Linked DNA regions of Drosophila melanogaster. Changing the gene in region 1 together with any one later gene gives a genetic interaction. Each region holds a gene or a part of one and is shown in the gene's direction. Other genes may lie near its edges.

Region 1 (8,070 bases):
GATAAGAAGAGAAACATGGCTATATAATCACTTTTGACGCTTATGAAGCTCAGGAATTCCCACCTGGTCCACGGCCAGGAACTTGGCATACACCTCCACGGGACTTTGCTGGTAGCGAGCGCGACAAATCGTCTTGTCCGCTCCCAGATTGTTATAGTAGTTCGTTCCATGCTGACCCCAAACGTAGGATCTCTTCTTTCTTCGACGAGACTGCTTGTTGTGTCTGCCATGCAATGAATAAGAATGATAAGTAAGATATTCAAACTACAGGATAATAAACTTACAGATAGTGATTGTCATCGGTTACTTTCCATCCTTTGATTTGGGAGAGACGGAAATCGGATATGTAAACTTCCAGCGGAAACTCGGGCATCCAAACGATGAACTTGGCCACGCCCACATAGGTGCCATACTTGACAATGACCGAGGCATTGGATGAGCCGCGCTGCTCGGAGCCATCCACATAAACAGAGCTGCAGGAGGAGGAGACCTGAAAGAAGTTGATTGGTTATTTAGCTAGCAATTGCACGATTCACAGTCATCAGACGCACCTTGATTACACTTTCATCTTCGGCGTGACAGGAGCTCTGTAGCGTCACATCGGCCACCTTGCCTGCCTGCGAAACGATGAACACCTTCATCGCCTGGGCCACCTGTCTGCCCGTTAGCACCGCCGTGTTCATCACCTCCCAGATTTTGGCCATCGGTAGCACCGCCTGAATGTCATCCTTGTTGATCTCCAGCTTGGCAATTAGTCGCTTCTTGTTGTCATCGGGTATAACCAGTTCCCCGGAATCCTTGTCCTTTGGCGTGTCATAGACATGCGTCACGGACCACACAATCTTGCCACCGTCCACAATATCATTGGTGTCCTCGGCCACCTCGAGCAGCCATGAGAATACTTCAAACACCTCGCTGGTTAGGTTGCCACCACTTTCCAGACTGGATTCGGCCTCTTTGCGGAAAGCAGTAACGCGAGCGGTAGTGTGTTTGGGATTTTCCTTCTCTACAGAAACGCTCCATTGGTCTGTGGAGGCGGTGGCGCCCAGAATCTTTAAGCCCGCCTTAACACGAGCTCTCACAGTGAAGGCGGCCACCCGCTGATCGGGATATTGATGTAAAAAGACGGGCACATGTAGACGGGAGAGTGGATACAGCGGATGTTGTGGCAGGAGAAAGGTGACGGCATCATCGGCGCGCAACATACGATAGGGAGTCCTGGCGGCCAACAAAGGCACCTGGGCGAATGTGGTCAACGGTTGGATCTGCACCTTCGGCTCGCATTGCTCGGGATTACGCAAAGGCGGTTCAAAGACACTGTACGAGACCTGGGCATACCGCTGCGGTACTTTGGGTGGCGCCTGACCACTGCCATCTTGTGTGGGCGCCGGCAGCTGGGGCCACCAGCCCAGGGGCACGACCACTTCGGCTACGCAGACACCGTCCTCGCCCTCCGGCATGCAGCGTCCTTTGAGCGGCTGCTCCGAACCCATCGCCACGTGCAGGAGTACACAGACCTTCTGGCGCTGCAAATGACCACCCGGATCGGCTCCGGCGTGGAATAGTACCCGAAGCACGGGAGCATCCTGCGATACACTGGAGCGAACCAAATGGGCGGATATGTCCAGGTGCATATTTGGCTGCTGGAGCTCCAGTAGAGTGGCATTCTGTGGGAGAGAAAGTGGTATGACAAGGCGTCCTTTTGTTGCTTGCCAGGATTTGGGGATAACTCACGTTCATATAATCGCCCGACTGGCTGTCCATTGTGTCCGGCACAATGTAGCGGGCTGGCACCGTTTGTTTCGTGGAAAACGGTCCATAGCTGGCGCGTATGGACACCGGCTGCGTGGTCTCGACCACAGTGAATCTGTCCAGAGATAACACGGAATCATAGGAGGATCGTTGCCGTAACGGCGGCACCGCCGAGGATGTCTGCACATTGGCGATCTCCGGCGTCACAGGTGGTTGGCGGGCGTGCTTCAGAAAGAAGCCGCTGTCCGGCGCCTCGAAGTGCACCTCCACGGAGTCTGGCGAGGATTCGGCATGGATTTGTTATGGGTTGGGAGTAGATGAAGGAGTCAATTAGTTGAATTTTGGTAATGGTAACATAGGGGTTGGGGATTTTCTTAAACCCGGAGGTCACCCACTCCTCCTTTATCCCCCTCCCACTGGCTTACTCCCTCCTCCCACTCCATCGCTTTTTTTGTACCACCCCCCTGGGTTTGGAAACTTTATTTGATACTTACATGCCAACGACAGCTGCAAAGCAATTATGAGGCAGTATCTCATCATCTTGTTCGTGTGCAGGAATCCAAAATATATCGAAATCCTGAAATCCTGTGCCCACCCACTCGTTAATTTGCTAATTAACTGTGCCCGCACTTTCGTTATTTTCACTGTTCTCTCGCTTGTGTGGCTTATTTGACCGTTATTCCGTTAATCGTGCCAAAAGTCAACCGTTAATTCGCGCTGGCTAGCACTTTTCGTCCTTTTTTCTCGCTCAGCAATCCGCAGCACATCCTTTATTGATTCTTTCCAGTGTGCCCACACACCCACACACCAACACACACTCACACGCTGCTCACACACACAGCCGTGGGCCACCTCACACACAGATACACATGCACATGCAGGTATAGACACATCTTCTCCTGCAAATCGCGCAGTTCAGTTCGAAATTAATTGGACCGCAACCGTGCCAATCGATTCGATTTTTCACTCGACTCGCTTTTCACGCGCTGGCAAGGATCTGCTGGGCTGGAAAATCCCTCGTTCGACGCCCTAATGCATGCCTCTTTTCATTCAGGTCTCTCAGAATTTTACACAAATATCGAACATTCCAAACACTTTGCAGTGTGTCCATACCGTATTGAAAACAATATCCTAAGATAGTGGTACTACCGTATTTGGAAGTGCTGTAATATGGGGCTGCCAGACTGTGCGCATACTCCTGAAACTCCAATCAGAACGCGGGCAATTCAAAAAGTTAATACCAAAAAAAAAAAAATACCATGTTTGACAGTGAAGAATAAAGAAAAATAAAATTAATTGGGATTGCTTAAGAAAATTTTTTGAGAAACTTTAGATTCTACAAGAAAAGAGCTTCTTAGGAACGAATATTTTAAAACAAGATCTGGTAGCACAACTGACAATAGGTTTTTAGGATTCTAATAGCCATGGTCCTAGTCTCAGTAGTATTCACATTTGTAATATAATTTTATATTTTATAATATAATTTATAGTCTTAATATTTATTTATTTTAGGAGCTCCAACAATTAGCACTTTTGCACAGTAATTTTTAGCATATTCTGCGGTATTTTCTGATAAATTGAAACCGCCTCTATGCTGGTCACACTTGGCCTTCTCGTCGAACCGAAATTATAAAAGACAAAAGTGCAGCTGGTCGAAAGTTGCATTAACGAAACTTCGATAGTATTAAACACTCGGCATTCGGCAGCTGTGAGTATGAATCAAATCAGGCGTAATCAAGCAATCATATTCGATAAAATAAACGAACTGAACTCCCAAAGGGCGCTGCCCTATGTGAGTGTGCGTGTGTGTTAGTGTATGCGTATGAGTCAGCGTCGGCAGCGCGCAAATGAAAACAATTGTTTTTGTGCTATAATTCCATTTAAATGTCCATTCGAAAGTGATAAATCAACGAAGTCGCAAACATTTGGCCCAACTTGAGTTCTCGAGTGAATTTGGGTGCTTCAACTGCGGTTTTTTTCTGGCCTTTTAAGGCTTTAATTGAAATGCGTGTGCCAGTGTGTGTGAGAATGTTTTCAATGAGCCAAATACGTGTGCGATGTTGTTTTTGTTAACCGCAGTTCAACAGCATTGATAAACTCGCATACACATGCACGCACTGGCGCAGAGCGAGAGCGAAACTCCCATACGTGTCATTTTCGTTTGCGCGAGTGACTCAGAGAGCTGCGCATGTGTGCGTGCATGAGTCGTACTCACAGTGGGCGCCCGATAAGGTGGACTTGTAACTGTAGCGGAAGCATGGAGCCATCGAACTGCTTTTGCATTATCCTTTCTGGCCTAAAACTGTATTAAAACTATTTATTTATAAATATAATTTGTAGTTCGCCCATTTTAGGCAATGGCCAAACCTTCATTCCTTAAAAAACCTTAAAGAGCAGCAATAAGATGTTCTTTCCGTTGTGATAAGCATATGCATGGTGTACTCACTGTAGCGAGCGTCCACTGTATGTTGACACAGTTTGTTTGGGGAGCAATGAAAATCGGTTTCAGCGGAATTCGCTGCAATATGTCTATATATAGCCATAAATACATACCCGGCCAACGAAATGCTAATGTGAGTCGGCGTTTTTCGATTTCAGATCCACGCCGCACACACATCACTCCAGCGCGAAGCACTAGTGCCACCAGCTCCATAGGCCGGCTCCATTTAGCTCCATTAACCGCATCAGAACCACCAATCCAACAGCAACCATGTCATCCCGTAAGACCGCCGGACGTCGCGCCACCACCAAGAAGCGCGCCCAACGCGCCACCTCCAATGTGTTCGCCATGTTCGATCAGGCGCAGATTGCCGAGTTCAAGGAGGCATTCAACATGATCGACCAGAACCGTGATGGCTTCGTCGAGAAGGAGGATCTGCACGACATGCTGGCCTCGCTGGGCAAGAACCCAACGGACGACTATCTCGATGGCATGATGAACGAGGCGCCCGGGCCCATCAACTTCACCATGTTCCTCACGCTCTTCGGCGAGCGGCTGCAGGGCACCGATCCCGAGGATGTGATCAAGAACGCCTTCGGCTGCTTCGACGAGGAGAATATGGGCGTCCTGCCCGAGGATCGCCTGAGGGAGCTGCTGACCACCATGGGTGATCGGTTCACAGACGAGGATGTATGTTGTCAAGTTGTTTACGATATCAAGTCGGAGTGTGCCCTTACAACTTCTTTTCCATTTACATTCACAGGTGGACGAGATGTATCGGGAGGCGCCCATCAAAAACGGTCTGTTCGACTACCTCGAATTCACGCGCATCCTTAAGCACGGTGCCAAGGACAAGGATGAGCAGTAAGATCGCCAGCAGTCGATTCACTAGCCAGCTGCCTCTCCAATCAGCCTGTCCAAACTATCCATCATGAGTTTCGTTTTGATAATTTAATATATACAAGTATAAATATTTTTTTTTTTTGGTTTCGCGCCTTCTGTTCTTTGATTCCTGATAATCCTGTACTTATCCGTGCATTTGAATTAAACAAAAAGTAGCCAACACCAGCGATTGTTATGTACGACAGTGTAGTGTGTGAGATGTTGGTGCCAGATAACACGATTTCCCGAAAAACTCCTTTCATAAGTATTAACTCATTGAATATACATATATATTACCTATATACAAATACATACTTATACAAGAATGTGGCAATAAACCTTTGTTTTTCTTACACTCGAGAACGTGCGCACGTCCAACCAAACAGATGTCTGCAGAAATCCTTCAGCCAAAAGCAACTGATCAAACAAGGGAAACTTTGGAATATGTACCCCCCATGGCTAATTAAGCATGATCACTAGCACGATGTGATAAGTGTATGTAGCTTCAAATGTGGCGGGAAATTGAAAGAGATTTCGGAAATTAGTCAAAATTTTCTTGGAATCTTCGACAAGCTGACTAATGAGTTCATGTCCAAAAGACTCGAACTTGCAAACTCATATCTTATCTCACATTATTTTTGATTCGAAGATATTTCAGCTTCTGCAAATATATGTTTTTCAAGAATTTATTTAAAAAAAAATCAATTAAATAGATGGCTTAATGTTCGAAACACTCAACGTTGTATATTACACACTTTTTGGACAACTATTAATTTAAAAGAAAACACGAACATTTGAAAATCTAGAAAGACACGGACACAAGAATTACAAACCAGACAAAGAGGCGTCTAAACACTAGGCAAATTCTATGTACAAACAAGGCGCTACGACTACAAATTAATGGTTAATGGTTAATGGCCTCTGCAGCAGGAACCATCACAGCCCGCGAAGATTACTCCACCTTCTTGGCCAGCGGAGCGGTGTCGAAGTGGGTCTTCCGGCTCGACCTGGCCCGATAGGCGTCCCTCACCTGGTTGATCACATTGGCGAAGAGTATTGTGCCGAAGAATACCAGGATGGTGCCTACCCAATGGTTTAGGGTGAATGGATTCCGGAAATAAATGATCGAGAACAGCAGCGAGACGAACTTGCGCAGGGTGACCACCAGCGTTACGGTTAGCGATGCACATTCGGTGGTCAGAACGTAGACGGCACTGATGCATACATACTGGGTGACCACGTTGCACAGCAGATAGAACAACATCAGCGGGAATTTCCACTCCAGTCCAATGGCTCCCAGCAGTGGCACGGCCACTGGTTCCGATGACCATGCGATACCAAAGTGTTGGACTATATTGCCGGCCATGATCAGAAAACCGGGCAAAGGTAACATGTGCGTAAAGAATAAGGCCTCGCTGGGATGCTTGCCGTATTTCTTGTATATCACCTCCTGGTAGATGCCCATGTAGGCGGTGACCAGCAGGGCGATTGTCAGCAAGCCAATACCCACCGTCCACCAGAAGAAATCGGAGTAGGATGTATCCACCTTGAGGCTGTGATGTGTATTATCCTTGACATCGCCACTGGAGACCAGAGTGCACAATATAATGCCAGCCGTGATCATGGCCACGGAGCTGTACTGTCGCAGATTGTAGCGCTTCTTCAGCAGCACAATGCCCATGATCATGTTGGCCATCAGTGATCCGCTACGGAAGATCATGTGCAGCGGCATGGGTATGTTAAAGTTGAAGGCATAGTTATTGCAAACGTTCGCCCCAAAGAACAGGGCCACCAGGATGACGTAGTCCTTCAGCGCAATCTTCGGTCGCACCGTAAAGAACTTGGAGGTGAAGACCAGACCCTCCAGCGCGATGAACAGGAATTGGGCGAAGGTGATCAGGTTACCCGCTCCCGGATCGATTTGAATGATCAGCTCCAGAAAGACCACGTTGCTGCAGCAGCCGATGAACACGAACAGCATGCCCAGCAGGGCCTTCAGGTTCAGAGCCATATCTGAAAGATAAATATGTATATGTTTAGAAATTTTAAAAATATGAATGGTTATAGGCTATTAAAATCCAGCATCTTGACAATCGATGTTAGAGTACGTGTTCAATTTTAAATTTTTTTTAAACTTTTTGTCAAGTGTGTTTTTTTTTTCATTTTGTTTTCTAGCATGTAAAACATTCCGTGCTATCTGTTATCTTAAAGGGGTAATAAGTAGGTACGTATGTACACACATGCACGTAAATTGTTTTATACATTCGCAAAACATTGCCATGATTACGAAGCAATTTGATTTCCACTAAATTTTGCTCTGATTATGCTAAAAAAGAGTTTAGCACTATTAATAAATCAATCTGTTTTGAATATATTACTACTAACTGATGAAATTATTTATTTAAATTATTGTTAATTTGCAATTCAGCAATTCAGAGCTATTAAATTTCAGTCGTACGTCGTATGTGCAAAGCACACGGGGATACCGAAGAAAAACATACATTAGCATAAATTATTATACTTATTCTTTGCGCATTGTGAATGCATATGAAGCTAATCATTTGGCTCCGAGATTTATTAATCACGATAGCTAACAGTTATAGGAGATATAAAATTTGCATAAAATGCTTACCAAAAATAGAACTGATCGTAAACAAAGCTATTTTAAAGTGGTCTTTTTTGGTGAAATTAATGACAGTTTTATTCACTTTTTTACTAAGCTTATGCGGTACTAATTTTTATTGAAATATTAAGATTCTTTATCGATGGCTGGTAGCAGATCGATTTTTTCGATATATATAATCGAATTCTGGTTTTTACTGGAAGGGTATTTCCAAGGTCGGTGGGTGAGTGTAGATCGCAGCCCGCTCAGCGTTAGTCGGCAATTTGGACAATTGTCACGTTGCCGATAAGAACTATGCGAATTGTTTAATTTAAACTGAACAAAAACGACAATCGTTATCGGCGTTACTTACCTTCGCAATGGGATATATTCT
Region 2 (7,600 bases), on another chromosome or scaffold:
CAATGTCGCTGGAGGAGTTCGCTAACGGCGTGGCCCAGACAGGCATTCTTTCGTCGCAGGAGACGATCGACATGTTCCTGCACTTCACTGCCAAGATGAAGCCCTCCCTGGGCTTTCCCACACGCTCCAGGGCGGGATTAAAGACCCAGGTCTGCCATCGCTTCCAGTCGTGCGCCTATCGCTCGAACCAGTGGCGCTACCGCGGGCGCTGTGATTCAATTCAGTTTTCTGTTGATCGAAGGTAAGTTCTATCTAACAAATGGTTATTGGATTAAGGTAATTAAAACTGAAAATTTCAGAATTTTCATTGTGGGTTTTGGACTGTACGGCTCGTCGACTGGTGCTGCCAACTACAACGTAAAGATCGAACTTAAACGCCTGGGCCGCACGCTTGCAGAGAACGACACCAAGTTCTTCTCGGACGGATCAAGCAACACGTTCCACGTCTTCTTCGAGAATCCCATCCAGATCGAGCCCGAGTGTTATTATACCGCCTCCGTAATTCTCGATGGAAACGAGCTTAGCTTCTTTGGCCAGGAGGGCATGTCCGAGGTGCTAATGGGCAATGTGACATTCCAGTTCCAGTGCTCGTCGGAGAGCACCAACGGCACCGGAGTTCAGGGCGGCCAAATCCCAGAGTTAATCTTCTACGGACCCACCACAGTGACAGCAATGAGCTCGCCCACCAATTCACTGTGTCCCACGCCAATTGGTGGCAGTTCCTCCAATGCAGGAGCGACTTCAACCGCAGCAGCCGGAACAGCTGTTCCGAATAGCAGCAATGGATCTGGCAATAACGCCAACAGTTCTGGGGAGGATGGCGACGGAAGCACCTGATGCGCACAGCTCTATTGCGCCGAGTGGCAGGGAGCCTGTTACTACCGCCAACAGCAGCAGCAACAGAGGAGACCAACACAACAATACAAAACACAGCAACCGCAAAAGATACAGATACAAAATCGAAACTCATGGGTTTTCAGTGCAGCACAAGAAAGTAAATTGGAGTTTTAGGCTCATATATATATATATATATATATATATATACCAAGATAGTAGAGTACTCTAGTTTTCATAATAGTCCTATATATAAACATATATATACACGTCAAAGCATAGACACATATATATACACCTCGGCAGTGCGTTTTAAAACTCCAAGACGATTGTCAGTACGTGATCATCTCAAAAAAAAAAGTCAGCCGATGCAAGTCAATCGATATAGGAAATTTGCTATAATTGGAAAGTTTCCTTCGATATCCCAAGTATGTTAAGCAAGTGAAATCAATGGTTTTGCAGTTCTAAAACGCACTGCACATAGTCTGTTGGTAATGCATATAAAGATATTTTCAAAATCGAAAAAGTTGATCATATACACTCTTAACTTTATAGATAAAGATTAGTAGTTGACTCGAAAACTTAATACGTTCCACGACTTAAGAGGGCGGGATGGGGTCATATGGACGCTAATAGAGACGCATAGATACATGCAATAAGTGAAAATCGGGCAATCAGTCAAGCTAGCGTTAACCAATATTCTAAAGACAGTTAAAGGGAGAGTGGACAAAAGCTAATACGATATATACCAAACATATTTTTGCCAGCATATACCTAACATATACACACATCTGATCTGATAATGATAAACTATAGTCCTAAACACTTCGAGGGAGAATAGGCCATGTTAATAGTTGCATACGACGAATTTGAAACCCAAGTTAACCAGTTAACGAAATAGCAAACAAAAATGAAATCAAGGGATCTTGTACGAGATGCGCACAAAATCCCCCCTACATATATATTCAAATATTAATCTTGTAGTACGCATTATATCTATTTCGTAGTTGTTCCATTATATCTCTCATACATACACAATATGCCTTTCTACTGATACTAAGCCCCGTACTTCTCCTGTGCATTATTATAGCCTGCTGAGCGCAACAATCAGTTTTACGTTTGTATTTCGGATTTCTTTGGAAATTGTACTGATTTTTTGCTTTTGATAAGACAATTATGGTTTTTATATACATATATCTATATAAAATGTTATCCTGTATTGATTATGAATCTATTACCATTATGTACTTTAATCAAACAAAATACATTATTAGATTTTTGCGAATTTACTTTCTCAGAGTTGAAGATTTTGGATATTTTGACATCACGTAAGTAGTGCATAAAGAAAACAGGAACGAGTAGAGTATTGTTAAATACCTGATAAAAGGAAAGCAAGCAAATCTAACAAACCCAACAAAATATTTTTAAAAAAACAAAAATTAAGAGTGGAGCTATGGCTTGACTTGACTGTGGATTGGGATTTAGGTGTATAGTTTAGTATTCACAACGTTCACTCACCCAGAGAAGGTATGTTGATACAAAGGGCATGCGATAACTTTAAGTAGGTACGACCAAGCTCATAGGAACAGATTTGCTGTACGTCGCTGATGTCGATGAGGAGATCTGTGAAGATATGAGCAGTCAATAAGCTACTCTTTAGGCAAAATGAATGCACTACTCACGGGAGGTGCCCTCTGTCCTGCAGGTCATGTACACGCAAGCGGCGTAGATGTGGGTGCTCTTCCTACCGCGGGTCAGATGCCTACCCAATGCCATCTTGAAGAAATTCAGAGCAGTATCTGCATAGTGCTGGGATAGCTGCAGCTGCTGGCAGAGTAGTGTGATGTCCTTCTTGGCCTTTTTGATGGTCACCTCGCGGGATTCGGTGCCCGATCCCACCTGAAACTTGCCGTAGCCATAGTTGGTGGCACCGCCCGACGACTCGGCGGACACAAACTGGCCAATTGCGGCTGCTCCATGGCCAACTTCCTCGAACTGCACTTCGGAAACAATGAGGGAATCCTCCAATACCGAGCCGCAGTTCATGCAAACTACAGTGAATGGGTGAACGTCGTTAGTGTCATGGATATGGGTCCTTGGATGTCATTATACCTCGATCTCCGCGAGCATTGTCTTCCTCGATCTCGTTGGATCCGCAATTGCGACATTTTAGGCCCGTAGACATGATTGTTTGTTCTTTGCTTTAATAAACACTGCCACCTGCAACGCTTCGTTTTTATCCGTTGTTTTGACAGTTTAAACTACTTGTTTGCTGTCATTTGAAAGCCATTTTCGAGTCTTTTTTAAACAATTTGCAATTTGTTGCCAATTGAATCAACACGCTTGGAAAACATCTGATTGAACCCCGCCGGCGTTGCTTAACACTGATGATAGAAGAAGAAATGCTAGAGATGCGCATTTCTCAATCAAGAACGACATTGGCACAACTGCTTGAAAAACTTAAAAGAGATATTAAAATTGTAAAAATTACGTAAAGCTGGTTCCAAAAATTATGTTCTAGTTTATTTGGCAAATTATCAATCAATATTTGTTTTTCATTTACATTGGAATATATAATAATACAGGTTTAGCATCGTGTTCTTAGGTGCACATCTCTAGTAGAAATAGTGTTAAAGTGCCGGTAAGGTGACTAAGTATTTTGTTGACATATTGAACAAGTTGGACCAAAAGGAGTATACAGTCATCTTGGACTTAACTTATAAATATTAAGTAAATATTTTAATACATATTTATTTTAAATTTACATATTTATATTTACCGTGTGTTCTTGCTTTTGTAACAGTGTCAAGCTTTGACGTCATATTTAAAGAAAGTCACCCCACTTTGTTCCACCCTGAGCAGCGGAATAAACAACAAGTCAAGTCAGCGTTCAATTTTCGAAAGTCAACTTGAATTAAAAAAAAAGAAAAGCCGGTCAAAATATATCAGTCATGGGCGATGCTGATCGTGCGATGAACGAACCAGAAGCCGCGAAAACTGTGTCCGGAATCCAGGTGATTCCCGCCGAGGATGTGGCTTCCATTGAGGATATAATCACAATCGATCCGGACTGCTACGAGCTTGATCTGAATCATCGCCGGATCGAGAAGCTGGAGAACTTCGAGCCGCTGACTCGAATCGAGCGCCTGTTTCTGCGCTGGAATCTGATCAAGAAAATCGAGAACTTGTCCAGCCTGAAAACACTGATTGAGCTGGAGCTGTATGACAACCAGATCACCAAGATTGAGAATTTGGACGACTTGCCCCACCTGGAGGTGCTGGACATTAGCTTCAATCGTCTGACGAAGATAGAGAACCTTGACAAGCTGGTCAAGCTGGAGAAGGTCTACTTTGTGTCGAACCGGATAACCCAAATCGAGAACCTGGACATGCTCACCAATCTGACCATGCTAGAGCTGGGGGATAACAAACTGAAGAAGATCGAAAACATCGAAATGCTCGTGAATCTACGACAGCTCTTCCTGGGCAAAAATAAGATAGCAAAGATCGAGAACTTGGACACATTGGTCAATTTGGAGATACTCAGTCTACAGGCCAATCGCATTGTAAAAATCGAGAACCTTGAAAAGCTTGCCAACCTCCGCGAACTCTACGTTTCGGAAAACGGAGTGGAAACCATTGAAAACCTCTCGGAGAACACCAAATTGGAGACCCTCGACTTGGCCAAGAACCGGTTGAAGGGCATTGCCAATCTGGAAAAGCTGGAACTGCTCGAGGAGCTGTGGCTGAACCACAACGGAGTCGATGACTGGAAGGACATTGAGCTGTTGAAGGTGAACAAGGCGCTGCAGACCATCTACCTGGAGTACAATCCGCTGGCCAAGGATGTTCGCTACCGCTCCAAACTGCGCGACATACTGCCGCAGCTGCAGAAGATTGATGCCACCCTGTGCAAGGTGCCCGGTACCTAGATGGAACCACTGTAAACCCCTTGAAAGACTAATCCACGGCGTTGCGCCACTACATTTATATCGATTAACTTTGAAAAACTGCGTTTAAAATATACATACAAATTAACCACTAATGGTTCTATCTACGAATTGGTGGGTGCAGTGATTTAGTTTGCTTTCAGAAGAAGGTATATTTGGATAAGTTACTCAAAGCGTGAAGTTTACCTAATGAGTCAGATAAATTATCCATCTAGGCTACCGCCTAACATATAAAACTAAAAAGTATTTTATATATACACATAAATAATGTAAATTGAATCTAAAAAGATGAAAACATTTTAGTTAAACAATTCTGGTTTCTCTTAAACCAAAACAATACATTTCAGTATGTCAGAGTACATTCAACGGAATGTATTTTTATTTATATCAAAGTTATTGTTCTATCGATTGAAATCACAGAGCTCAACTGATAAGTGGCTTTCATAAAGGCCTTTGTCTTCATTCTTTCCCTTTGTGGCAGACATGTTGTGCAAATATGCTTATCATTTCATTTTTTGACAAAGTATATGAGGCGTCAGTTGGATTGCTTTTGGAGGAGTTCATCAATTCGAAACAGCGTAATAGTCAGAGGCGCTCACTTTATGAGGACCTCCATAGAAGTCCAGAACAAAGATATTGCTAATTTCCAGTTCGCAAAGGTAGAAATTGTGAGCTGTAAAAGAAACAACGTATTTATTATTAGTACATACATATCGAGCTCTTAATGAGGTTCGCTTTCACCAACCTTTTACCCAATTGATGGCAGCTGGATGACGCCTCACATAGGCATCCAGCGATGGCTGATAGCTTTTGTCGCTAGGATCCATCTTCAAATGAGCCAAAACATTCTTAATCCATTTTAAATAGGATTTAATTCATTTTTCATACCTTCTTCACCTGTCCACTGATCATGGAACGGGCACATGTAGGCTCCATGGGATCCTTTCCGCCCTCCTTGCATCTTAGGGTCTGCTCGTCACTGAACAGGAGTGTGACCTTGTTGTCCTTCTGCCAGTCGGGACCAGTGAAGTCCAAATCGGTTAGCAGGAATCGAATACGTCCAGTGGACCTGTTATTAGCATCGCTGTCGTCGATGGAGATAATGTTGACCATGGGATACCCCTTCACCCGTTCGTTGGTGGAGAGACTTCCCACAGCCGCCCAATTGGCGCGATGGACCAAATCTCTGGCGATCTTGGCGTGATTTAACTCTTGCTCTCGCTTATATTCTCTAATTATACGCTCATCTTTCCGGCGGGAGTAACCGGAAGAGGGGTCCAGGCTCACGAGGGCCAAAATCAGGGCGAATAGTAGGGAGTGAAAGGTTTTCATGGCTAGACTGCAAGTATAACGATGCGGTTCTGAAAGATCACTGAACACTGGACAGCTGACGGGTCAGCATTTATGGACAGGGAATTCGCAATGACTGGCTTATCTTCCGGTCATCGTAATCGCGTATAATCCGCACTTTTAGTACTCTCTCTGATTCACGATGTAGGCCGTAAACAAAGCGGACTACGGATAGCGTTGACCTTTTACGCCTCTTTCATTTTCTCTGTGCGCCGCATTCTGCCAGTAATGCCCATATATATATGTATTTATGCCTACCTGGAGGATCTGGACTAATGGCCCCTGTCGGTACTTCTGCTTTGCGATTTGTTTGTCAACTGACTGGGCTACTATTGCGCCTTTATTATCACCTGCTTCGAGTACAAAGAACCACAACCAGCTGTTTTCAGCAGGTACCTCGGATGCGGTGGGGTGTATGTGACGCATATGTTCGTGCATTTTTCTCAGTTCTTCTCAGTCTCTCAAAAATCCATTAGTGTCTTTTATTACAAGATGATTTTAAATGCGCCCCATTAACTGGTTATTTTGAGCACTTAGTCAGTAATGTATGCAGAAAGCAGCGATAAATTGTAAATAAAAACGAATATCTAATTAATTAAAGTTTGGACTTTAGGAATAAGAATAATGTGTGTGGTAAATTTTAACTTTCAAAGAAAACAGCTGCCGTAAAATTAAATCACCATTGAGATTAAATAGTTTGATGTAAAGGAAAATAAAATTTAAGAATTATTTTAACAAATTCCTTTTGGGTAAATTGGCAAGCCGAGTAAAAACGTAACACCAAACTAGTTAGCCATTCGTAGTCCGAGGGTACCAACCGAGCGATCATCCAATAACGGTGGCATACAGCATTGCCAGCTTGAATAAAGTAGACTGCTATAAAACTAGGCTCGTATAAGCAGATCTTGAGCAGAGATTGGTGTAGTTTAACATTTTGTTTTCTTTTATTTTGCAAATATGTAGGTATGCTTAAATATGATTTTTGTTTTTAGGAGTATCATTATGCTTGACTTAATCATCTTTACCATATAACTTGTACATTTCACTTTCATTTAACTTGACCTCAATTAACATTTATTGTTTCTATTTGCGATTGGCTCGAAATTTCGCCAAACTCTGGTTCTGAATATCCACCGTGTGTGTTGTGTTTTCATTATTCTAGTGTGCGATTATTAGTTTAACATTTATTTGTATTTCTGTTACATTTACGTTTTTTATTTTTGTATATTTTGTATATACTCATTTTTCTCATATTATTAGACAATTTGTGTTGTAATTTAATTACGTTTGCCAGATTAGTTTACCCTGCCGCATACAGTTTGTTTGAAAAATATATGTACATATCTCATGGAGTCCTGAAATCAATATGTACGCGTAGATCTCGAGTGTTTTCTCAAAAAATAGATGTGTAAAAGTTGATCGTACGTGTATAGTGTAAATATGTTTGTATGGATGTAAAACATTTA
Region 3 (7,848 bases), on another chromosome or scaffold:
CATTTAATGTTTTGTAGACTTTTGAAAGTCTTACGATACAATTAGTATCTAATATACATGGGTTCATTCTACATTCTATATTAGTGATGATTTCTTTAGCTAGTAATACATTTTAATTATATTCGGCTTTGATGATTTTCTGATTTTTTCCGAACGGATTTTCGTAGACCCTTTCGATCTCATAATGGCTCATTTTATTGCGATGGACGGTCAGGAGAGCTCCACTTTTGAATTTCTGTTCGCAGACACCGCATTTGTAGCACATAGCCGGGACATCCGGTTTGGGGAGATTTTCCAGTCTCTGTTGCAATTGGTTTTCGGGAATGCGTTGCAGGCGCATACGCTCTATATCCTCCGAACGGCGCTGGTTGACCCTAGCATTTACATAAGGATCAGCAGCAAAATTTGCCTCTACTTCATTGCCCGGAATCACAGCAATCAGATGTCCCTTTCGGTTACGATGGATATTCAGGTGCGAACCGCACACAAAGCTCTCGCCGCACACTCCACACTGATATGGTCGCTCGCCCGTGTGGCGCCGCATATGGATCTTAAGGTCGTTGGACTGCACAAAGCTCTTGCTGCACATTTTGCAGGAGTACGGCCTTTGACCCGTGTGCAATCGCATGTGTCGCGCCAGCTTGTTCTGCGAAATAAACTTCTTGGAGCAGATCTTGCACTCACTGGGACGCTCGCCGGTGTGCTGACGCATGTGAAGACTAAGATCTTGGCTGCGCGGAAAGGCCTTCTCGCATTGATCGCACTTGTACGGATTATCGCCCGTATGTCGCCGAATGTGGATGGTAAGGCTAGATACGGGAAAGCTCAGGCCACAGTGCGGACAGTCTCGCCGCTTAGCTATGCGTTTTCGGGCGGAATTGTCCGTCGTTTCTTCGGGTTCCAATGCGATTGCGTCGGGATGGAATGCCTGCATGTGTCGCCGGAGTGTGTCCTGACGCTTGAATGTCCGCGGACAGTGCTCACAGGTTAGCAGACCGGTGCCGCAGCTCTCGTTGGCCAGCTTCATGGCGGCCACGTCCGCTGTCAGTTTGTGGGCTTGGGAAAAATGACGAGTCAGAGATTCACTTTTGGCAAAGACACGCGGACAGACGGCGCACTTGTAGATGAAGTTCGCCGAATGGTTCAAACGACTGCCCAGCTGGGAAGGTCGCGACAATTCTCTGTTTTCTATTTCATCTGGCCGAGGCTTCAGCTGAAAGGAGTCTTCAGGCTCATCATCACGATCCTCGCTCGCATAGAGTGGCTCTTCGCCCACATCTGAAGTAAAAGCTGAACAGTCTTGGTCTCCATACTTCTCCTCCATTTCCACGTGCTGTTCGGCAAAAGACGTGGACAGGTATTGTGCCATACTGACCACATCGTCTTGGTCTATAAGCTCCACGACATCCACATGAACTTCATCCGGCTTGGCAGCAACTTCCTGTTGCTCGAAGAGATTCTGTAAAGTTTCATGGGCGTTTTCCACTTCGACGATGAACTCATAGGCGCCGATCAGCCGGCGGGCGCAATTTTGACACAGATGCATAGGCAGATTTGGGTCCGTCCATGTCCACTGGAAATAATTGAACTTATTTTTCGAAGTTTCTTGAAATTGTAGCTCTTTACCTTCAATTTGGAAACTGCCTCCAACAACTGCCAGAGCTCCAACTTAAGGTCGTTGTATTTGATTTCATCGTGGACATACAGATTGGTCTCGTGCGTCTCCAGGCAGACGCGGCAAGTCTGCGAGCTTATATTTACGTGGATCTCCGGTGTGTCCATGATTCGGCATCATATCATAAACGACGAATTCCAATAAAAACTTTGCTTGTTAATAACACCTGATGTTCAGAGATGCCCGATAAAATCACAGCTGTTCTGGTTCACAGTCACCAGAAATAAAAAATATTGGAATTGAGATGTACACAATTAACGATATTTATAAATATCTTCCGATAGTCTATCGTCCGGTTAATCAAAATAAAGTGCGACGAATTAACATATTTTCAAAATTAAGACGCTTTGATAGATGTATTTGTATAGAGATAGAAATTAAGGTTAAAATAACATAAATGCCAAAGTTTAGAGCACTATTCAATAATTCTCTTGATTTCAAATTGAAATAATACACAATATAACATTTTCTAACACTACAAAGTCACGATATTCTTCAACCAACCGATAGTATCGCACACTTGCCATTCGCCTCATCACGCACACGCCCGCTTCACAATTCAAACGAACGGCATTTTATTTTCACAGGATCCCGGGAGTCGTGAATGTTTTACCCAATATCGGCTTTCATTGTTAACTGACCAAAATTGTAATCTGTTCTGTTAGTTGTCGAGTGCCTGTGCCGTCATGTCCCATCCGTCTGACCATGTGCTGCGTCCCAAGGAAAATGCTCCGCACAGAATGCCAGAAAAATCAGCTGCAGTGCACAATATGCAAAAGAACTTGCTATTGGGAAAGAAGGTACGTTAAGTGGTAAATCTCTGGAGTGCAGCTGAAACTCTTATTTGGTACCATTGTGATACAGCCCAACAGCGAGAATATGGCTCCAGCTAGCAAACCCTTGCCAGGATCCTCTGGCGCTTTGATCAGGAAGCCAGGCCTAGGAGGCTCCAATTCCATAGCTTCCTCCGAAGGAAACAACTTCCAAAAACCCATGGTGCCGTCCGTGAAGAAGACCACATCAGAGTTTGCTGCTCCGGCTCCAGTAGCACCTATCAAGAAGCCTGAGTCACTTTCCAAGCAGAAACCCACTGCTGCGAGCTCTGAATCCTCCAAGGAACTGGGTGCGGCCAGCAGCTCCGCTGAAAAAGAGAAAACCAAGACTGGTGGGTTAATGGTTCAGCTGTAATCTTTTGCAATTACCAAACTCAATTGTAATTTTCTGCAGAAACCCAGCCCCAGAAGCCGAAGAAGACCTGGGAGCTCAACAACTTTGATATTGGTCGCCTGCTGGGACGGGGCAAGTTTGGCAACGTTTATTTGGCGCGGGAAAAGGAATCCCAGTTCGTGGTGGCCCTAAAAGTGCTCTTTAAGCGCCAGATTGGCGAGTCCAATGTGGAGCACCAGGTGCGTCGTGAGATCGAGATACAATCGCACCTACGTCATCCGCATATCCTGCGTCTGTATGCCTACTTTCACGACGACGTGCGCATATATCTGATCTTGGAGTATGCGCCACAAGGAACGCTTTTCAACGCCTTGCAGGCACAGCCGATGAAACGTTTCGATGAACGCCAGTCGGCCACCTATATTCAGGCGTTGTGCTCGGCGCTGCTCTATCTGCATGAGCGGGACATCATACACAGGGACATCAAGCCGGAGAACTTGCTGCTCGGGCACAAGGGCGTCCTGAAGATCGCCGACTTCGGTTGGTCCGTGCACGAGCCGAACTCCATGCGCATGACACTGTGCGGCACTGTCGACTACTTGCCACCCGAAATGGTTCAGGGCAAGCCGCACACGAAAAACGTGGATCTATGGAGCCTGGGTGTGCTCTGCTTTGAGCTGCTAGTGGGCCACGCTCCCTTCTACTCGAAGAACTATGACGAGACCTACAAGAAGATTCTCAAGGTGGACTACAAACTGCCGGAGCACATTTCCAAGGCAGCATCCCATCTCATTTCCAAGCTGCTGGTCCTTAATCCGCAGCACCGCCTACCGCTGGATCAGGTGATGGTGCATCCTTGGATCCTGGCGCACACGCAGTGAACACATTCTTGTTTAATTTTCAGTTAATTCCTTTTAATTACATTTTTAGTTTAGGGCTCCCCGCGTAATTTAATTATGGCATCATAAATTTTCATTTATATAGATACGAGAAATTAACATTTATCAATTAAGTTTATTATTATCATTAGCAATAAAGTTTGTGTGTGTTTTCGAATGCTAGCGTACACTCCTATCTTATGTAGCTACCTAATCTCTAGCGAAATGGGTTGACGGAATTGCAAATGCAGAAGTGAAACGTGTAGGCAGCGACAAAAAAAACAGGCAACATTGCCCAAATGCAGCGCAGCGTTTATTTTTATCACAGAAAACCAAGTATATAGAGTATATTTGTTAATGAAACTTGTAAGGATTTAGCAACGATTTCGATTACTGCTAATTCGGGACTAATAATTTGCAAGGCAGAACTGAAACAGTCTTCATTTTAAATCTGTCTGCATTTGTTCGTAGCTCCATCTCAGAGTATTGTATTTCCTGCGAGTTTTAATTTCTTGTTCTTCATTTGCTATTAACGAAATGATGGTAGTCATGACGTTGAACTTAACTTACAAACTAAATAGCTTAGGGCGTGCTCAAGCCAGGATAGATTTTGATTTATAATCTTCAATTAACGTACAAATTTCAATGATCGATTTGCGACATTTCGTTATGATTAACCCTAGAATCTATGGCTTACCGAGCACGGCTTTAATATAAAGGGGTTTCTAAGCCTTTGCACACTTGCCGCTCAATATTAATAGAAAATTATCTTACTTAGTGTCTAATAACCTCGCCTCCCTTCTTGCGTGCTGCACCACCATTGGAATAGTCGTCCTCTGCAATTTAAGTTAAAGTGTTAAGCATTTATTCCGATTTGTGAGCACTTCCACTCACCATCTTGATCTTCATCCATGCCGTCTTCCAGGTGGATGCCTTCGGCGAACTCCTTACCCTGGTCAGCAACGATTTCGTTGTTTAGATTGTCTGTATCGAGCAAATGCTGTGGCTGTTTCACGGCCACATCACCCACATCGTCGTCGTCATCTCCGTCGCCACCTCCTCCGGCACCGGCTGCCTCGGCCATCTGTTTGGCCGTTTCATCGGGAACGGGTCCGGGACCAGGTGCCGGCAATTCGCCATCGAAGAAATTCTGGCCGCCACCAGCGGCGGGCAAATTAAAGCTAGGCTCGTTTAACGCATCCTTAACTTCGTGAGCGCCCGAATCCTCGATGGGTTTGGGAGCTACGCCTACATTTTTGTTGCCCTCCATATCATTTACTGCGTTGGCGTAACGATTGTTGTTCTCGTTCTTCGGCAGGTCTTCGGCGGCGTTGTCTACATCGACAGCGTCGCCCTTAGTATCCGCTTTGTCTTCAAAGTTCTCGGGAATGGGAGCCACGTTTTCGGGAAGTTTGCGCTCAGTCTTCGCTGGTGGCACTGCAAGCGGGGGAAGGCCGCTGCTACTAACTTTTGGGGCTACAGATGCGTTGGGGGCATCACCGGCTTTCTTGTCCGAAGCGCTGCCCACTGAGGCTTGGGTGCTGCTCTTGCGGGGTGCACTTAACGGGGAAACAGGACCGCCGGATAGTTGCGGCTCCTCCTGCTGTTGCTTCTCACTGACCGATTTGGGCACAATCTGAAAGTTTTCAACAGAGTTTAGTATGAGGCTGTGGTTGTTGGACACGGCAAAAGGCTGCAGAGGCAGTTGCGGCTGCTCTTGGGTTCCGTCACCGTTACTCTTAAGTGTGAAGTTAGTAGACGCGTTTGTTAGGTTTTGTTTTGGGTTAGTTGCTAGCAGATTTACCCCGCCGCCAATCCTGTAGAGGCCTTCACTCACTTGCACTTGGGCATCGAAGGACTTCTCGTTGCGGGGCTTTTCAATGCTGTGCGCTAGCTGGGCAGGATTTGAGTGGTGCGTGGTGGGCATCTGCTCGGCGGGCTTATTCAGTTGCTGCTGGTGTCCCTGGACCGGTGCCTCGGCGGGCTGGACTTTAGGTACATAGTTGCAGTTGGTCTTGAATTCCGCAATTGTGGCTTCCAGGGCGTGAATCTTGTGCTCACCATCGCGCTGTAGCTTGTCCAGCTTTTCCTGGAGCATAAGTAGATATGGTGAAGAAATTTACTTGGATGTATTAGAAAAGCATACCTTCCAGGCAGCCACCTCGCGCTCCTTGCTGGCCTTGTCCTTATGAAGATCCGCCAGGACCTTTTGCAGCTTTTGGTCGAAAGCGTTCGTGTCCTCGATGTGTTTCTTCTTGCTCTTGACGAACTCGGCCTCCAGGTTGGTGTACTTAATCTCCAGCAGCTTGTACTTTTCCACCTGAGCGTCGAACTTCTCCTGCAGTGCGTGTTCCGTGTCGTGCTGCTTCTGCAGTGCCTCCGCCAACTGACCCTCGTACTGCTCCTGCAGGGTCATCTTTTCCGAGCGCAGCGCGCTCATTCTCTTCTCGGCGGTAAGTTTTTCGGCATTCAGGGCTGTGGATATCACCATAATCAGTCGGCATATGGACAAAACAAGATAGAAACAATAGACCCACATTGCATCTGGACACTGAGGCCCTCTTGGAAGGCGCGGCTCTCGTCCAATTGGTGTTGGGACATTTGGTAGATAACAATCATCATGATGAGCACGATGAACATGCTCATCAGGATGCAGATACGGACGCGCCCTGAGCGCGCGAAGCGAGCCGAACTCATTTTACACTCGATTTAAGCTAGTAAATCAACAAATTGCAACTATTTCCTTTGCAGAAAAAGAATGGTTTTTCTTCTTGTTTTGCTTTAGAGCTGGTACGATGGTATCGTCGTAACGATAGTAGCGATTGCCTATCGATGAATTTAGTTGTATTATTTTTTTATACTTTATTTTTATCCCCTTTGAAATTTTAAAAGGTTCTGAATTATGAATGTTCGCAGTTCTTTGCAATAATATAATTGTTGAATTCCTTTTTTTTATTTAATTTTTAAGGCTTGCTATGTTTTTAACAAGGCAAGCTCAAGGTGCCGGTGTGACCAGCTTGGCACCAGGCGATAGCCAATTTGAGCCGTAGATATATTTCAAAGGTGTCGAAACGGTCACTCCGCTGACCAGAATCGACGGCGACGCGCGAAGAGAATATCAATAAATATTTTTAATTTAGCTTAATTAGCCGCAAATAAGTGTTGCTTGTCCGCAGCAGCCGTTAAGTTCAAAGTAACCGGAGTCAATTAATCGAGCTTTTCAGCAACTAGTGCAAAGTGAGTTCAATATCTCGGCTACGATTGATGCCCTCACTTTTCCGCGGGGTGTTCGGTGGAATTTATTTAAACATTTGGGAGAGTTTCGCACGCGAACGCATATACGTAGCGCAGCGAGAGAGAGAGTGGCAATCAAATTAATTTAATAAAGGTGCTCGATGGCGGTGGTAAACACCGTGAATTACGTAAAGTCCGCACAAGTGGTTGCTCCTCCAGTGCAGCCAATCTGGAATAAGTGTGCCACCAATAACATTAACAATAGTAGTCCAGTATCAGTTGTGTGAATCTCACCTGTCCGCCAGGTGAACCACGCACACGGGGAAAAAACGTCGCCGTAAAACGGCAAGCCCCCCGCCCCCACGAGTTCCCAAACATTTGGGCAATAATCAATAACTGGACTGCCATTTACTGTTAGGTGCCGCAATCTACACTTATTTTTATCTTCGGAAGTTTATAGATTCAGCTATAAACTATTATTTCACCCCATCGGTATTCTTCAACCTGATATCTTTATGCTTGAGATATTTCTTCCACCTGATATCTTTATGCTTGCGGTACTCTGTCCAAAAACGAGAAATGATAACAAGTTCAGACACTCTTATCGTCTGCGCAGCGTGGATAACCCGTTATTCGGCCTTGAGAGTTGAGCATATAGATGGCCAGCAAACTTTTTGATAAACTTTTTCGATTTGCACCTTCGTGTAATTTTGCTAACGAAGCAATTTTAACATTTATTCGCGAGTAGCGACTAATGGCGCCCATCCATTTGCTGCTAATCTCCGTGGGGTCCGCCGATCATGTCAATAAACTTTGGATCCCACATTCTCGGCTTATCGCCAACCTATATTAAGTATTCGCCCATATGATATAAACACCCAACAGCATTATCAG
Region 4 (8,537 bases), 5.3 Mb from region 1:
GGAATAATGTCCTTCGTCAAAGTGAAATTCCTTTTCGAGCTTGGAATCATTTTCTCATCTTTGCTACCTTGATCACGCTGGCCTTGCAAATCCAGGACACTCTTATTATTGGAATTACGATTTAATGGCTCCGGCAAGGAGGCCCCGATATGAGATTTCTTTCCCTCTCCGGGTGGAATAATGTCCTTCGTCAAAGTGAAATTCCTTTTCGAGCTTGGAATCATTTTCTCATCTTTGCTACCTTGATTACGCTGGCCTTGCAAATCCAGGACACTCTTATTATTGGAAGTACGATCCACTGGCTCCGGCAAGGAGGCCCCGATATGAGATTTCTTTCCCTCTCCGGGTGGAATATTGTCCTTCGTCAAAAAGAAATTCCTCTTAGAGCTTGGAATCATTTTCTCCTCTTTGCTGGTATCACTGGTGTCCGAGCTTAGAATTGTTAATTCATCTTTGTTGCTATTGACGCCTTGATTACGTTGGCCTAGCAAATCCAGGACACTCTTACTATTGGAATTACGATTCACTGGCTCCGGCAAGGAGGCCCCGATATGAGATTTCTTTCCCTCTCCGGGTGGAATAATGTCCTTCGTCAAAAAGAAATTCCTCTTAGAGCTTGGAATCATTTTCTCCTCTTTGCTGGTATCACTGGTGTCCGAGCTTAGAATTGTTAATTCATCTTTGTTGCTATTGACGCCTTGATTACGTTGGCCTAGCAAATCCAGGACACTCTTATTATTGGAATTACGATTCACTGGCTCCGGCAAGGAGGCCCCGATATGAGATTTCTTTCCCTCTCCGGGTGGAATAATGTCCTTCGTCAAAGTAAAATTCCTTTTCGAGCTTGGAATCATTTTCTTATCTTTGCTGGTAGCACTGCTTTTAAAGTCTGGAATCTTTAATTCATCTTCGCAAGAACTATCACCATCGCTGGTATCACTGGTCTCCGGGCCTGGAGTGAATATATCATCTCCGAATGAACTATAATCATCACTGGAATCACTGCTGTCCGAGCTTGAAATCATCATTTCATCTTTGTTGCTATTGACAGCTACGCCCTGGGCACCGAATCTGCTGCCTTGATTACGCTGGCCTTGCAAGTCCAGGACACTCTTATTATTGAAATTACGATTCACTGGCTCCGGCAAGGAGGCCCCGATATGAGATTTCTTTCCCTCTCCGGGTGGAATAATGTCCTTCGTCAAAGTAAAATTCCATTTTGAGCTTGGAATCAATTTCTCATCTTTGCTGGTAGCACTGCTTTTAAAGTCTGGAATCTTTAATTCATCTTCGCAAGAACTATCACCATCGCTGGTATCACTGGTCTCCGGGCCTGGAGTGAATATATCATCTCCGAATGAACTATAATCATCACTGGAATCACTGCTGTCCGAGCTTGAAATCATCATTTCATCATTGTTGCTATTGACAGCTACGCCCTTACGCTGGCCTTGCAAATTGTCCACATCCACTTCCTCCGGGACACTCAAATTATTGAAATTACGAATCACTGGCTTCGGCGTCGGGCGCTTCCTAGGCTTCTTGGTGGTCACGCTGCCCCCTCGATCGAAAATGACATTCTCCAATGTGAGTCTGCCTTCAGAGACTTGCGGGCAAAATGTCCTTGTCGCGTCCGAATCCAGGCGGACAAGGTTCTTGTCGCCAAGCAGTTTCTTGCTGAAATTCATGGTTATCTTTCCGATATGGCAATGCGAATGATAAAAGTAATTTGGTTTCCTTGTGATGAAATAAGAAATAATATAATATACAAAATTATATAATTTTATCCGCTGTGACGATGTTACCTGGTGAACGACTTTTTTAAAAAGAGAATGTATTCAGGGAATGAGCTCCAAATGTCAACTTTCAGCTGTCAAATCCACACTTTCGAAGTGTAAGGGTTACTTTAAATTGTGGTTGTATCCAATAAAGGGAATTATACAAAATAAAATATTTTGTTTCCACTTGAATAAAAGTCGATGCAATGTGTTAAATATCAGATCTATTATACTGCTCACACATGAACAGGACATTGTATACAAGATAATGTTGTTTGCCTTATAAATAACAATTGTAATTTGTAACACCAAATTATGCGTTAAAACGAAACTACTTCGTTCCTGCTTGTTAAATTTCCACCCAATTTTTTGGGGTTTCTCGCGATCCGATTTTCTATTTTCGCGGTGGCCAAGCATTTTCCCTAGGTCAAAAGCCGGATCTGCTAAACTTGAATGGCTGCCAAGAGGAGTTTTTGGCGAGTTCGTGGCAAGAAAATCCACCGCCCGACCAAAAGAAAAATAAAATCATTTTGTAAAAAAAACCTAAGCAGATCCGGAGACGACAACATTATTAATAGACGGATGCTAAAGGTTTTTGCACTTGGTTTATTTCTGGTGCTCCGCATTCCTGAGATGCCGTCGTGGTGACAAAAATATATGCAACGCACACGAGAAATGCAAACATAACGCATATCCACTGCATATCCCATCCAATCCAATTACACTGAAAGAAATTAGCAAAGTTATGATTTTTAAACAAAGTAGAAATGGCGTGGTGTAAAATAGGTCTATTCCAGAGAGAGGGATTGAAATGTAGAAAAAAAGTTTTCTATATTTAACTATACTTAACTATATATACTTAAACTTTATTTAAGATCTTAGTAATGATTCAGAGTGCACGAGAAATGTGCACTGGCTTGCAAGTGGAGCACACACACCTACACACAAACGGTGGGAAAACAAGGCGGGAAAATTTGCAGGGCGAGAAAAAGCCAGGGAACTGCAAGCAAGCATAAATATAAATATACATTTAAAATTGAGAATCCAATGAAGACGCGAGGTGCCAACTATTTGCGGGCTGTGTTATGCCCACACGCCCCGATAACAGGCGCCACCCAAAACGCACATTGCATCCCAAAAATAATATCTTTATTACGTTTCCACCAAATAACAATAATTGGTAAATTGAAAACACGCTTTGAATCGGCCGCAGTGTGACCATGTGCTTTCCACCAAACTTAACATTGGAAACGTCATATAACTACTTTTGTAAGATGGTGTTCATATAACTGTCTACTTAGTTTCACATTAGTTATTATTACTGAAACGAAATTTAATTTTTACTTTTTCTGCCTTTTCTCAGCTTAAATTATAAACAAAACTGCACTGTTATAAACCTAGTGCTGTTAACAGACTTTCGGTATTTTCTGGTATTTTTCACAGTGCCTAGCGTTAAACGTCCGGCAACAGAGTGACCAGAGACACTGGCAAGAAATACCAGGCCCCAGCAGCAGAGTTATTTTCATGGTGTGCGTTCACTTTAAGCGAACGCGAGTAATTGAAATTTCAATCCGCCAACGAACGGTTCGTGCGCGCTGCTCCGCTGCGAGTTTCTTGTACCTCCGTGCCTCCGCAAAGCGAAACACACAAAAAAAAAGAATAAAGCCTGGCCAAAATCTGCGAGCCGTTTTTTCGCATAAAACCCTTTTTGAAACGAGCAAGCGGAGGAAGAAGAAGAAGAGAAGCTGAGACGGAGTTCTTCGGAGAGAACGGTACTTAACTGGCGAAATACCGAAAATAACAAAAACAAAAACATAACCAGCAGCAACAGCATCACACATACATACACACGCGGGAATTTTTTCGGGCCTCTCTTTGCGCGCGTGTGTCTGTGTGTTGCAGTTGCATAGTTTTTGCTTCTTTACTTCTTTTAATTCATTAGTGTGATTTTTTGTTTTTGCTGTTTTTGGGTTGTACTGGAATCTGGTCTCCTTCTCCCTCCCTGTCGCTCTCCCGCGCGCAACGTATTCCGCTGCATTATATCGAAGCGTGTGTTTTTATCACTAAACTACAATTTTTTTTGGTTCTGTGCAGTTGAGATTCGACCCTCAAAGAAATAACAAGTTACCATTAAAAAAAATAAAAGCCAATCAAACGAAGGATTAAATACAGCCAAAAATCGAAAGAAGATTCGATCTTCAAACACACTACACACACACAAACACCACAATCCCCCCCCACACACACACAAAATGTTCACCGAAAAGGGAATTTTTCCCATTGGCGACGGACTTTTGGATGTGGACGCCGATCGGCTGAAGGGACTCCTCGTCTCATGTCCCGACATCAACGAGATCTACGAAGTGGAACAGACGCCGTTTGCCAGGTGAGTTTTTAGTTTTCTGTTTTGAGTTTCGCGCTATTATTCTCCTTTTCCCTTGCCAAAAATTCAACCGAAAATAAGAAGCACAAAAACAAGATTTTTGCATCTCCACACTGCAAAAAAAAATCAGTTAGAAAGGAAACCATATAGATAATTTAGCTCTTTTGGGGAATTCTGGTCAGAACCATAGATACAGTCCATACCGCAGATATACATATGTAACTAACTATAAAGTTCTAAGCTAGGAGTTTTACTTACTTGTTTTAGGTACTTGAATACCATAAATCTATACATATGTGTATCTTTTCTTGATCGCCTTATTTGTTTTACTAAGCTCGATCGTTTCTTTTTCGTATCATAATATTTTGAAATGTAATCCAAGATAAATATACATGTCTCTATGCATAGTTATGCCAAAAATAACCATATTGAAAATGATCTTCTAAGTTTTTACAACCTAAACATACTTTGCGATCACAATTGAAGGTAACTGCTACAAAATCACACCTAACATCAGTGAATTTATCATCGTTTAATAGATTTGTTTTCCTTGTTTTTGCGAATGCAGCTGCTAAATTCAATAAAAAATAAAAGCGGAATCCAAAAACCACCGAAACAAAGCTAAAAATGTTAAAGAAAGTCAGTGGCGAGTCTGTTTTATTTTTTCTGAAAAACTTCTGCGTCTCAAAACTTGTTTTATTTACTTTTTTCTTCTTTCTTGCGACTTGCCTGTGTGTGTGAGCTTCTACTCAACACACACATGTGAACGGGAGACAAAAAGAGAGTTTTGTGTGGATAACGGCACAGTGGTTTTGTTATGAACATCGAAAGATTCGTAAACAAATACGTATCTATTCAGTACGAATTGGTTTTGAAAATAGCTCTGAATTTGTACGCTTTAAAAATGCGCATTTTTAGATACGAATTTGCTGACAATATGGTCAGTTTCGCGATTGTCCTTATGCACTGTGTGTGTATCAAGAGATTCATTTTATTTACTTACCTGATTTCGTTTCAAGGGTTCTGCCCTTCAGTTAATTATGTGGAATTTTAGATTTGTGCAACAACCACTGTGCACCTCGTTCTGCTTCTTCCTCTTCTTGAGTTTCTTTGCCTGCTTCCCTCTTCCGCATCTACCTCCCTCTCCATTCATCTTCCTCATTCTGCTCCCTGCATTTTCTCCCTTTTTTCTCACTTCTCCAAAGAGCAGCTGTTACCGTTTGCTGGCGAACTGACCCTCATGCACCGTCGTCTCTTTCTACGTCCCTCTCTAGGCCCTCTCTCTCTCACACCATATGGTTGGGACAGCACTATCTCTTTCTGCCAAGCATTGCTCTCCTTGTCTCGAATGCCCTTTGACTATCATTATTTTCAGCTAGATTTGCATTTTGTACCCTTTTTCATCATATACATATACATTTGTATATTTTTTTCGCATTGAGCCGTGTTTTTTTGCCTTATTAGTTTTGCATTTCATCGTTTCTTTAAAGTTCTTCAGAATCCGCCAACCACAACACCCACACCCCCTCTTCGCCCCACGAAGGTCGTTTGCTTTCGAGCGTTCCGTGGTTTCATGCTGCCCGGTACCCCATTTATCATCATATTCCCCCCATTCTTGATAAGCATTCTGTTATCAGCCAAAAAAATTACAAAAAAACGAAACGAAAATTAATAATAAAACGTAAATCCCAATCGATGTTTTTGAGTTTCGTAAGCAGTCAGGCGTATGAAATAAAATTTTTCTGTCACATCTATCGATGGTGGTTCTCAAATCGTAATTCTTATCAGGAAGCCGTTTGTCCGAGGTGTTTGTTGTAAAAACAAAAGCGCAGTGTAAACCACCGTATATGAGATGGAGGAAATATTTGACAAAAGTGGCTTCGAAAATACAAACATTTTTAGAGGCGTACATATCGCATTAATGTGAAATGCGATCGCAACAATTAACTGTAATTTTCTAATTTAGTTGTTTGCCAAAAATTTAATGGATTCAAATTTGTTATAATAAATTCAACTTTCTCGTAAAATGTTATGCTTTGCTATTTGTTGTTTTGCTGATCACTTTGAAGTCTTCAAATTTCTCTATTTTATAACAGATTTGATTTTGCTAATGTGCCTTTATAATAATGTTTTATTTATTTAATACCATTTGGTTTGTATCTTTACACTTATAATGTCATATAATGGTGTTTTCTCCATTCAAGTTGTAAGTTCTTTGGTCCGTAATTTATATTCATTTTATTCTCCCTTGGAATTCCGTTTGCCAAAATTGCCTTATTTAGCAGAACTAAATGTTCTTCTGCAGACGGGTTTAATTTTTCCTTGGCAATAGTGCTCCTTTTTCACCTTTTCTTTTGTTGGCCATTTCGTTTTGGTTTCTCATGATTCTCTGGTTCCGTATTCGCTCAATACCAACTTGTTGCTGCTGCGTTTGCTTTCGTTTCACGTTTTGTCTTCACTTTGTTGAATTCATTCTTATATACATTATACCTTATACTTAATATTTCTTGTTGTGTTTTTTTTTTTTTGGGTCGTTTGCTGCTTTATCAACGCATCATTATTAAACGTTTCGCCGAAGAAATGCCTTCTTTTGGCTACAAAAAAGCTTTAATTTTTTATCAGTCGCAAAAAGATAAGGAAAACGAGGGGCGGAAGGTGATTTAATGGAGGGGAACTTTTTTTTTTGTACCGCTCGTTTGCAGTGCCATAAATATCATTAAAATCTTCCGCAGAATTGGGATTTGGCTAAAAGTGTTGCAACAGTAGAGAAAACGGTACAAGTTAAGCTCTAACTTTTGTTGTGACAGATTTACTATTCAATTTAATATAATATAATATAATTAGGCACAGAAAGTGTCTTACATACAAATTGAAATGAAGTTGCTAATCGCGCAACACATGCAATTTATTTAAATTAACCCCCCTATGTCACAATGTTTAACCCTAATGACCGACCAGTGGAATATAAGAAACTTGCCAAAATGGAAACATTTGACAATTGCAAGCCGTCAATCAATGCGAATGGGAAATAATGGTGGGTTGGCGAGGGGGGTTTGGTGTATCGCGGGGGGATTCCTGATTTCTGCAAGTCGAAATGCCAAAAAATATTGGCCAATTGGGCGACGCACATACACAATGTTTCTTATAACTTTTTGAGCTGTGCATAATTCGACTTGGATGGATGGGATGATGATATATGGAAAAATAAAAAATCAACTTGGTGCTGCTGCTGGCTTATGGCCCAATTTATATGGTAAAAAAAAAAAAATTGAAGAAAAAGAAATACAAATTGACAGCGAGACAAATGAAGTTGTGGACACCGGAGTTTCAGATTTGCTAGCTGCTTTTTCAGTTGTCTTTGGCCGTGTTTGCCTGTTAGCCCATTTGGTTGTTGGACTGTTGTGGCTGCCACAAGACTTCACAAAGCCCACTTGACTTCAGCATTGGCACATTGTCCAGTTTTTATTCGTAGCCCGGAGTTTTTGGCCTTTCAATTGGAAATTAGGACGCACATTTTGTGGGCAGTCGAACGCTTGCATAATGGAAATTTTATTCAATTTTTTGTGCAAACTTATAATGTGTGTACATATGAACATATATAATATATATATATATATATATGGTTTTTGCCAGAGAATGCGAATCAATAATAAATAACAATAATTACAATTCAATTGAAGCTCGCACACGAGGAAAGTCACACCTTTGGGAGGCTTTTATATATTTATTTATTTGGATTGAGCTTGGGATACGTGTATATTTGTCCATTTATTATTCACATGTCTGAAAATTGTATGTATGTATATTTGCCTAGGCGACGATTATTAAATATTGTATTCCCCAAGCAAATTCTTTAATGTCTCTATTTACCTATACTCCATACTTTTTGGTAAATCTCTTGACAAATATAATATAATATAATGCACGAAATTTCATCGAGTGTCAAATGTTGCGCAGCCAGACTTACCCACTGAAAAGCGAATTTTCCCCCAATGCTTTTGGCCCATTTTGTTTATTTTTTTTTTCTTGTTTGGGGCCTAACATAACCTCATTGAGTGTGACTGACGTCACGGGAAAATCAACCCCCAGAATCCCAACCAAAGCAAGAAAAAGCCCGGGATAATGGAAAAGTGGTGGAGCAAGCGGCCCACACAATAGCAAATACATACATAAGCAAACAGCTGATAGATGATGACTTTTGGGCTCCGTTTTCTCTGGACTCACAAACAAATTTGTGCGTGGGCGAGGTTCAGCCCTTGGGAAAATAACATAAAAGCCTATTATGTAGCCACCCTCTTCGACAGCACACGAACATCATTTATTCTCCAGTCAAAGTTTTCTGGTAATCTTAGGCGCGTCATCAAGCTGAAGGGGGG

Evidence for each region.
Region 2: of sqh (region 1) and sds22, changing one suppresses a phenotype caused by changing the other (phenotypic suppression), as found in Drosophila melanogaster (one study listed by BioGRID).
Region 3: of sqh (region 1) and aurA, changing one enhances a phenotype caused by changing the other (phenotypic enhancement), as found in Drosophila melanogaster (one study listed by BioGRID).
Region 4: of sqh (region 1) and Drak, changing one suppresses a phenotype caused by changing the other (phenotypic suppression), as found in Drosophila melanogaster (one study listed by BioGRID).

The regions. Positions count from the first base shown.
Region 1 is NC_004354.4:6,220,397-6,228,466, reverse strand, and holds sqh (spaghetti squash), read left to right. Parts: upstream 1-3,326; 5' UTR 3,327-3,460; exon of another isoform or gene 3,461-3,770; intron 3,771-3,946; exon of another isoform or gene 3,947-4,056; intron 4,057-4,309; exon of another isoform or gene 4,310-4,350; 5' UTR 4,351-4,462; coding exon 4,463-4,882; intron 4,883-4,955; coding exon 4,956-5,060; 3' UTR 5,061-5,406; downstream 5,407-8,070. Other genes in the region: dtn (detonator), read right to left, coding at 64-223, 285-490, 552-1,667, 1,735-2,027, 2,247-2,292; Efr (ER GDP-fucose transporter), read right to left, coding at 6,027-7,085. UniProt on the Drosophila melanogaster protein: Required for cytokinesis, could regulate contractile ring function.
Region 2 is NT_033777.3:17,388,144-17,395,743, forward strand, and holds sds22 (sds22), read left to right. Parts: upstream 1-3,450; 5' UTR 3,451-3,564; intron 3,565-3,613; exon of another isoform or gene 3,614-3,637; 5' UTR 3,638-3,785; coding exon 3,786-4,766; 3' UTR 4,767-4,877; downstream 4,878-7,600. Other genes in the region: Brf RNA polymerase III subunit, read right to left, coding at 2,353-2,457, 2,517-2,885, 2,947-3,019; lute, read left to right, coding at 1-241, 300-837; CREG (cellular repressor of E1A-stimulated genes), read right to left, coding at 5,348-5,457, 5,530-5,611, 5,673-6,116.
Region 3 is NT_033777.3:11,960,931-11,968,778, forward strand, and holds aurA (aurora A), read left to right. Parts: upstream 1-2,193; 5' UTR 2,194-2,361; coding exon 2,362-2,475; intron 2,476-2,539; coding exon 2,540-2,840; intron 2,841-2,902; coding exon 2,903-3,723; 3' UTR 3,724-3,896; downstream 3,897-7,848. Other genes in the region: CG3281 (uncharacterized protein), read right to left, coding at 113-1,573, 1,627-1,782; CG12213 (uncharacterized protein), read right to left, coding at 4,495-4,556, 4,615-5,809, 5,867-6,195, 6,258-6,417.
Region 4 is NC_004354.4:11,489,836-11,498,372, forward strand, and holds the start of Drak (Death-associated protein kinase related), read left to right. Parts: upstream 1-3,299; 5' UTR 3,300-4,030; coding exon 4,031-4,164; intron 4,165-8,537. Other genes in the region: CG33235 (uncharacterized protein), read right to left, coding at 1-1,688.